2 linked regions of the Cricetulus griseus genome follow. The protein of the gene in region 1 purifies or fractionates together with the protein of each later gene. This does not show direct contact. Links are inferred from orthologs where the notes say so. Each region holds a gene or a part of one and is shown on either strand. Other genes may lie near its edges.

Region 1 (4,270 bases):
TGGATATAGACATACCTTAATAGGTCTGTAGGGTTTTGGTCAATTTCCCATGTGTGTCTTTTCCACAAATGAGTATATCTTGAAGTGTGTGTGTGTGTGTGTGTGTGTGTGTGTGTGTGTGTGTGTGTGTATGTGTGTGAGAGAGAGAGAGAGAGAGAGAGAGAGAGAGAGAGAGAGAGAGAGAGAGAGGGCGTGCGTGCGTGTATGTGCATACATGCACATGACTATATATATATTTCCCCCTTTGTCCAGGAGTAAACTATGGCCTTGTATGAATTCAAGCTCCAGAGAGTACACTTGGTTAAAGATCTATTTGGAAAAAAAATGATCCAGATGATAAGATGCCCACAGTCTGAAAGGGCCATTCACAAAAAAGTCTGCCAAGCATTCTATAGCCTACAATTGTTTTTAACCGCTTCTTACACAGTTTACTTCTATGGGAACAAGAGTGTGACTTAGAAGAATAAAAATGAACTGCCCCAACAGAGATTATACTAACACCAAACATACATCTGCTGGATAATGATCAAATTGTGCTAGGGTAGAGCCAAAACTTCTGAAATCCCTGGAGGTAGAGGTGGGAATAAACTAGTTAAGTATTCATTACAACTGACCTTGAGTAATTTTATAGGAAAGATGACTTGAAGAATATAAAGCTTCATAAAAGTAAATACCCCTACTGCTTACAAATGCACTTCTTTGTTCCAATGTGCAGGATACACACCCTTGCAAGGAGAAATCAAGTCAATGCAAAGTACTTCAAGAGAATTAAACAAAAAGGGGTTAGCTGTATTAACATCATAGTCTGAAGAGCATAAAGGTTCTTTACCAAGTCCCCCATCTCCTGTTGCCTGCCATCCAGTCCCTATCTCCTTTGTGTACTGCTTGCCTCCATGTGTATCTCCCTTCACACACAGTGTGTGCACAAGGGCGTGTGCACACACGTCATAGATGACACTGCAGGACAAGCATTTGATTTGGTGTGGGAACAATTGAATTTATGACTACCCTATCCTCAAAAGCACCAAATGTCCCATATTAAGATTTTTAAATAGTAATCTTCCCTTTCACATTTAAAGAGCACTAATGTCCACAGTTTCACGTTTTAGACCAGCTAAAAGTGCATTACTCTTGTAACCCAGCCAATATGTAATTAATTCTACAAAGAAATAAAAAATCTTTCTAGGAAGGGACACAGGAAATGAAGTGTTTTCATTGTATGAAATGCATTGTGGACACACAAATCACCAGCACTATAAATAAATAAAAGTTGCATGCGTGCTTGCCTTACACCACATAGAAAACACTAGTACATTTGCACACCATGGCATTTTAGCCTGGGTTCCTGAAAAACACTGTGTAAATACAAGGGACTGTGAACGTGTGTGTGTGTGTGTGTGTGTGTGTGTGTGTGTGTGTGTGTGTGTGTGTGTGTATGTGTGTATCTGGTGTGTCAGGGAGAGGTTGGGAAGCACGAGGGACGGCACTTGCCTTTTGGCAGCTATTTAAGAAAATTCCTTTTCTCTCTCATTCATTCTTTCTAGCCTCAGTGTCTGGCAAGGTCCTTACAGTTACTCACTGGCTTTTCATTCTAAAGACAGCCGACATGCTCTTAGAGCTTCCTATGGTGTTATTTTTTTCCCACACACTTAAAAAAAATCAAACCATTCAATATATGTTTTGAAATTTTTTAAGAAAAGAAAATCATTGGCCTATTTCCTCACTTCAGAGACCCCTTACATATCTGGCTAAATGTGATCCTTTGTTATGCGTCCAAAAATATCTCCACCACATGATATTGGAAAATAATAAATTATTCGTATTCCAAGGATGTCACAGCTATTACCATTCATTTGCTTTACCTTAGTGAGTCGATGTCACACTCCTCTTACTGAGTCCTACACGCTTGCCTTTTTCTCTGCGAACACTCCATTAATAAATTTAAGGGCTGAAAAGAGGACACCAAGCGCCCTTCATGCACAATGGCACTCTCCAAGACTGAGACATCTCCAGCCACGGGAAAGTTAACCTTCCAGCAAGATGCCCACCCCAAATCGGCCAAGGAAGAAAGGTGACAGAGGGGCTGCGGAGCGCAACCTTTCATTTCTCCACCTCCAGAGAAAGGGAGGGCTTGGCAAGAGAGCGGAGTAGGAAGGTGGGCGAGTGGGAGACCGAAATGGGTGCCGGGGTGGGTGGGTGTGGGCGGGATGGGAAGATAGAGAGTTCGGGGAAGGTGGGGAGCTCAGCGCAGGGTTCGAGAGCAAGGCGGGGTTGGCGAGCGAGACGGGCGGGCGGGCGCGGTGGTCAGGGCGCGAGGGGGCCGGTCCTCACCATTGAACGCCCCTGCTTCCGCGGCCTCCTCCTCCTCGCCGTTTTCGGAGTCGGAGCGCATGGGCTCCTCAGCGAAGTTGACACCCTTACTGGGGGCGCCGCCCCCGACGGCGGCGCCCGCGTTCCCCCAGGTCCTGCCCTCATGGCCGAAGCAAGCGGCGCCCTTGCGCTCGTTCTCCTGCTGCAGCCGCGTGAAGTGCTGCAGCGCGAACTCCAGCAGGTCGGCCGGCTGGTGCCTCAGCACCTCCACCGTGAAGCCCTGCAGCAGCTCCGTGAGCCCCGCGGGGATCTCGATGCTCATCCTGCCTGTGCACGCCCCGGCGCCTGGGCGCCGCCCTCGCACCCTGTCCGCTGTCCGGTCTCAGGCTGCGCGGCCCCGAGCGAGCGCCCCCGGCGCTACCGGCTGCGAACGCGGCGCCCTGGGCCCCTGGCGCGGCTGCTCCGTGCGGCGGCGGCGGCGGCAGAGCGAGCACAGCCCGGGAGGGTTGGCAGCATCTCCAGCTCCTCCCGCTCCCTCTCCCGCCACCACTGCACCGCCCCACGCCCGGCGCCCCGCCCCCGCCCGCGCGCCCACGTGATCCCCGGAAACCATGGCAACCCGGCAGGCGGGTTCAGCGCCACTTGCTAAGTGGCCTCTGGGTGGAGGCAGCGGGAACCTAGGGCGTGAGGCCGACAGCTCTCAGAGCAGATCCTGCGCATCATTCTGCCCAAGCCCTCCCGGAGTTGGCGTCGTGCAATTTGTTCTGAAACTTCAGCCTCCACCTTGGTGGTGGCTTTTCTTCTCCTAGAAGCCAACAGTAAGAGAAATGTGCATGGTGTCTTTTGTTAAAGTCACACAGCTGTACTGGTTCTCTTTTGGATACAGGAAATATGGCTACTTATTTGTTACAACATTTTCTTTCACTAGGTTTTTTCCCGCTTTTCAGTCACCTGGCTGTGATGGTCAGCTTGCTGTGCAGATGTTCTGCCACGGCATGCTTGGTGCATTTCTTGCTAGTTGCTGAGACAAAGGCAACATTTATTTATTCAATTTTTATTAATTTGTTCGAGACCAGCCTGGTCTACAAGAGCTAGTTCCAGGACAACCTTCAAAGCCACAGAGAAACCCTGTCTCCAAAACACCAAAAAAATAAATTATTATTATCAAGCACCCCTCCCTCCTCTCCTCCCACTCCCTCCCCATCCCGTCTGCTCCTCGGAAAGGGTAGGGCCTCCCCTAGGAAGTCTACTAAGTCTGTCCCATCATCTAGTTGAGTCAGGACCAAAGCACCTCTTCAACCCCACCCCGTTTCTACGCTGGGCAAGGTGGCTCTCCATATAGAATGGGCTCCACTAAGTCAGTCTGTTTATGCATTAGTGTTAGGTCTTGGACCCATTGCCAGTGGCCTCATATATTGTCCCAGTCACACCATTGTCAACTATATTAAGGGAGTCTAGTTCAGTCTTACGTAGATACCCCATTTGTCAGACCTGAATAAGTGATCTCTCACTGGCTCGGGTCACCTGGTTTCCCCATCATGGTCTTGACTCCTTTGTTCATATTATCACTCCTCTCTCACTTTGATTGTACTCCAGGAGCTTGGCCCATTGGTTAGTTGTGGATTTCTGCATCTGCTTCCATCTGTTTCTGGAAGAGGATGCAAGCTCCTCTGGGGTTGTGGATTATAGGCTGGGTATCTTTTGCTTTATGTCTGGTATATTTGTCTTTCTGGTTTTGGGTTACCTCACTCAGGATGGTTTTTAGGATGCCATTGTTTCTTAACACTGAATAGTACTCCATTGTGTAAATGTACCACATTTTCTTTATCCATTCTTCAGTTGAGGGGCATGTAGGTTGTTTCCAGGTTTTGGCTATTACCAATAATGTTGCTATGAACATAGTTGAGCAATGTCCTTGTTTGGTGAGTGTGCATCCTTTGGGTATATGCCCAAGAGTGGT
Region 2 (4,306 bases), on another chromosome or scaffold:
AGTATACCAACAAAGAGAAACTGAGGGTTGGAAGGGAAGTGACTTATTCAAAGCAGCATAACCAGCAAGGGGCTGAATGAGGGTTTTTACAGTCATCTGTGCTATCATATTGACTGCCAAGCACAGGTCTTTCTACATAAAAAGATGCAGAAGTCTTAACTGGGGCAGGATCCCTGGGTCCAAATTCCATGGGGATAAAGCTGCTTGAAACATGCACAAGGATTAGGTTTGGAGCAAATAGTGTATCCTTACCTAAAGAAACAAAAGTTCAAGGACAAACTGGGTTCAGTTTAGGCTGTAAACATGGGGCTTGCAAATTACCAAGAGAAGGTTGCTCAGAAAGCAACATACTAAAATGAAAATGATACTTTATCATAGGAACTATTTTCTCCCATTGTGGTTACCTAATGGAGACCCATCTCCACCCACCCACCCCTCCCACCCCCACCCCCCGGAATATTTCTGATACATACTCTTGAAGGGCCAGTTCAGTGCCAGAAGCTCAGTAAGAGCTCCTGAATACTCACTTTGATTAGTTCAGACCATCCAGAAGGCAAAACAGGTTCTGGAATCAGGAAACTTGGATTTAAATGCTGACTTATCATGAACTCTTTATGTGACCCCAGACCATTTGTTTTAGCTCTCTGAGCTTCAGGGGTCCCACGGATAACAAGGAGACAAAAGTGGCCCCTCAGGGAATCATTTCTCACAGTGACTTAAAGTTCCTGTTCTAAAACGAGTTTCCATCTCATCTGGTGGCCATATGTTAATAGCCAACACCTGTATCATCCAATACACAGGCCATTAACTAGAACTTGAAACGCAGTTTGTCCAACTGAGAAGGAATTTAAGTGTAAAAACTCATACCAGATGTCAAAGATTAAGACTGAAAAGCATAAAATACCTCATCAACAAGTTTTCTTATAGATTTTTCTAGAATTATATATGGAAATCTCAAACTAAATAAAGTATGTTATTAAGTCACTTGCTCCCAATGGTACTGCTGCCCGGTGGTAAAGCACTTGCTGAGCACATGTGAGGCCCCCTGTTCAACCTCCAGCACCATAGAGAAAGGAATTTTACTTGCTTCTTTTTATTTACTTTTTTTAATTGTGACTACCAGAAAGTTTTTGTTCTTGTTTTAGTTTTTAGAGATAGGGTTTCTCTGTATTGCCCGGGCTAACCTAGAACTGGTTCTGTAGATCAGGCTGGCCTGGAACTCTGAGGTCCACCTACCTCTACCTCCCCAGTGCTGACATCAAAGGTGAGCACCACCATTCCTGGCTTACAAGGAAGTTTTTAATTAAATACACACCACAGGTCGTATTTCTATTGGACAGTGCTATTGGGCTGTCAACAAGGTTCGGACAATGACAAGCGAGGGTACCTGGAACAGTCCAGTCAAGGGTGGGAATATCAGTGAGGGTTTCCTAACAGTGGAAGATGTTAGGCAAAAGATAACTGGAAGATAAGGCAAAAGGTGTACAAAGGACAACTGAGGCAGCAAGAACAGCAAGTGCACAGGCCCAGCAGCAAGAAACACAGCAAGATCATTCCTGACACTGAGCTTGAGCTTGGCAATCAGGCATAGGGCAAAGACAGGGTTGGGAACCAGAGAGAGACAGTGGGGGTGAAGCAAGAGAAGCAGATGCAGCAGTCTATGGAGAAACATGGAAGCCACATTACAGAACTTCATCCTGCAGACAGCAAGTTGCCTGGAGGGCCTAGAGTAGGTTAAGATTCGAATTACCAGAAATGAATGCAGTATCTGTCCTATCAAGGCTGGGAGAGGAAGGAAAGGAGAGTATTAGCAGATCCATTAAGTTAGACACTGTGCTAGTTTAGTTCCCTTGCCAACAACCTATTCCAAATGTCCAAAATAATCTAATTTCTGGTCCCAAGGGCTTTGGATAGAAGACACAACTTGTAGCAGTGGTCATGATGGTAACACTGATCCCCCTTCTCAACACTGTTGTGTCAGCTGCTGCACTTGCCAAGAGAACTGCTGGGCAGCCATTGTTTCTTTTCATTCTCATCCAATTATGGTGAGTGCATACGTGCGTATTACCATTAGCCCATTTCACAGAGCAGAAGTCAATTTACCAAGGTCACCCACATTGTCACTTTTTTGGGTGGACCTAAACCCAGTTCTGTCCATCTTCAGCCAAGGATCTTAACTCCTGCACTGATGCCTCTGTCCTGGGAGGCTACTGTGCCCGCCCCCAAAGTTTAAAATAACAACTACACGCCCCATAATGAATGCAAACCCCCAAACAAAAATTATTCACCAAGTGCCCTAGGGTCCCGGTCCCAACCCAGCCCCTATTAATAGAAATCCCAATTAGTCCCACCTCCTCCCCGTCTTTCACAAAGTCCCTTACCTATCCTACACATTCTCTCAAAGTATGTTCCAGAATACCACAGACGAATGTGGAGCTGGCTGGACACCCCCAGGTCCTAACACACGCAGGCAGCAGCAGGGACCATCCTCAAACAAACGGAAGGCCTCACGGGAGAGAACCACCATCAATAGGAACCCCAACCCAGTTACCATGAACCCCAAAATCAGGGCCACACCTGCAGCCGCTGAGGGTCACAGGCAGGGTGATGTCCTCTTCCATTCCCGAGTCCATTACTGAACACCGAGATGGTGGCACCGGTGTCTGCGGAGGCGCCACTGGTTCCCCGAGCTGTGGCGACCTGCTCGGTTCCCCAGGTCCCGCCCCTTCCAACCCAGCTCTTGTTCTCAGTCTAGCGGCGCCACTGGAATTCAAACCGCAGCCGCCGCCATCTTTTCCTTGCTTCTTCCTACGGAAACAGGGCGGGGTCATCTGGCACACGGGGTGAAGCCGCCCTGAACCGGCCTGAAACCGGGCAGGGAAAGCATGAGTGGACGCCATCTTAACTCAGGGCAGAATCTTCGCTCTTGAACCTGTAATACTAAGAAAAGAGACGCTGGCCGCCATTTTTTATGTGTGCGGGTACTCGTGATGAAGCCAAGGCAGGGGCCATATTTGTTGAGGGTGAAAATCCGCCCTGGTCAGTTAATTTAAGCGGGAGGTGGGACAACTCATAGTGTCTAATTCTGTTTGCTGTTCTATAATCATGACTACACACTCGCGCCTTGGTTCTTTTACTCAAAAGACTTCTGCCTTATGTTGAAACTCAGATAATTGAGTTCTACCTCTATTTAGAAAAATACCACCTGTGGAGCGCTAGTATAAGCAGTAATTTACAGACTGAGTTTGATGCCTCATACCTATAAAGGGGTCAGGCATACTTCATGTCAAAGCTTTCAATGAAATTTGTTACCGTTAGAACTCATGCACCAACAATCAGTAAACTGAGACCCGGGGAGAAGAAATATTCAAGTTTACTATCCACCAAAACCAGATCCTTAGCTTCTGGCATGGAGATCTGGGTCCTCTGGAGCCATGTTTTAACCTTCCTGGAGAGAACGAAGATATTATGAGAAAAGCCACTGTGTTGCCTCTCAAATTATGATCTTTACAAAACTGGAATTTCAGCTATTCCTCCTTGGAACCCCTCCCACTCTCAGAGTTTTTTCTTCACTTTTCTTTAATAAATCTACACAGGAGTGAGAGAGAGGAACTTAAAGTGGAGTGGGGGAGAGGGAGTGAGTGGGGAGGAAGAAAAAGTAAGGGAGAGAGGGAAGAGGAGAGGGAAAGAGAGAGGGATAGGGAGGATGTATGGATGTGGAACAGTGGTCCCTAGCAGTTAAGTATCTCCTACTGCCAGTTTGTTTGTTTTTGTTTTGGCTGGGCCCTCAATAGTTACAAGGCTGTTTGTACTGCACAACACTAGCTCCAGACCTGCTATATTCTGTGGTTCTGGGGGAAGGAGTGGGTGTCCATGACTGACAAGCTCAAGTGCTGAGATAATGGGGCTAGTACCTAACCTACAAGGTTTTTGTAAGGATGACCTGAGATATCTTTAGGAATTCTGTCAGTAGTAATTCTGTCAGTAGTAATATGTTCACATGTTCATATTCATTCCCATTCCTCCATAACCTCAAATACTCTTTCTTTGCAAACTGGCAAGAGTCAGAGCTGTGATTTGAGCCCAGATGCCTCTGAACTCCAATGTCCTAAAAGGTTCAGACAGGCCATATTCCCCAAGTGTTCAGTTCTTTTTCCATCTTAGAACTTACAGTTGAGACATGAGATCTGTGATTGCTGGAAGAGGAGGTGTCATTATCTTCCATGGTAAGTTGCACATACTCCAATGAATAACCCCCATCCATGCTCATATAAGCAACCCTATTTAAACTTAGTGGGGAGAAAAA

What was found. The genes of interacting proteins can lie anywhere in the genome.
Region 2: the proteins of Prkar2b (region 1) and Cdk5rap2 purify together in Homo sapiens (affinity purification with mass spectrometry; 3 studies listed by BioGRID and IntAct, counting the BioPlex papers as one, with this or other methods). This does not show direct contact. The link is inferred for Cricetulus griseus from reciprocal best matches to the Homo sapiens genes PRKAR2B and CDK5RAP2.

The regions. Positions count from the first base shown.
Region 1 is NC_048598.1:169,644,242-169,648,511, forward strand, and holds the start of Prkar2b (cAMP-dependent protein kinase type II-beta regulatory subunit), read right to left. Parts: upstream 2,863-4,270; 5' UTR 2,633-2,862; coding exon 2,332-2,632; intron 1-2,331. UniProt on the Homo sapiens protein: Regulatory subunit of the cAMP-dependent protein kinases involved in cAMP signaling in cells. Type II regulatory chains mediate membrane association by binding to anchoring proteins, including the MAP2 kinase.
Region 2 is NC_048595.1:75,832,566-75,836,871, reverse strand, and holds the start of Cdk5rap2 (CDK5 regulatory subunit-associated protein 2), read right to left. Parts: upstream 2,811-4,306; 5' UTR 2,634-2,810; coding exon 2,578-2,633; intron 1-2,577. UniProt on the Homo sapiens protein: Potential regulator of CDK5 activity via its interaction with CDK5R1. Negative regulator of centriole disengagement (licensing) which maintains centriole engagement and cohesion. Involved in regulation of mitotic spindle orientation.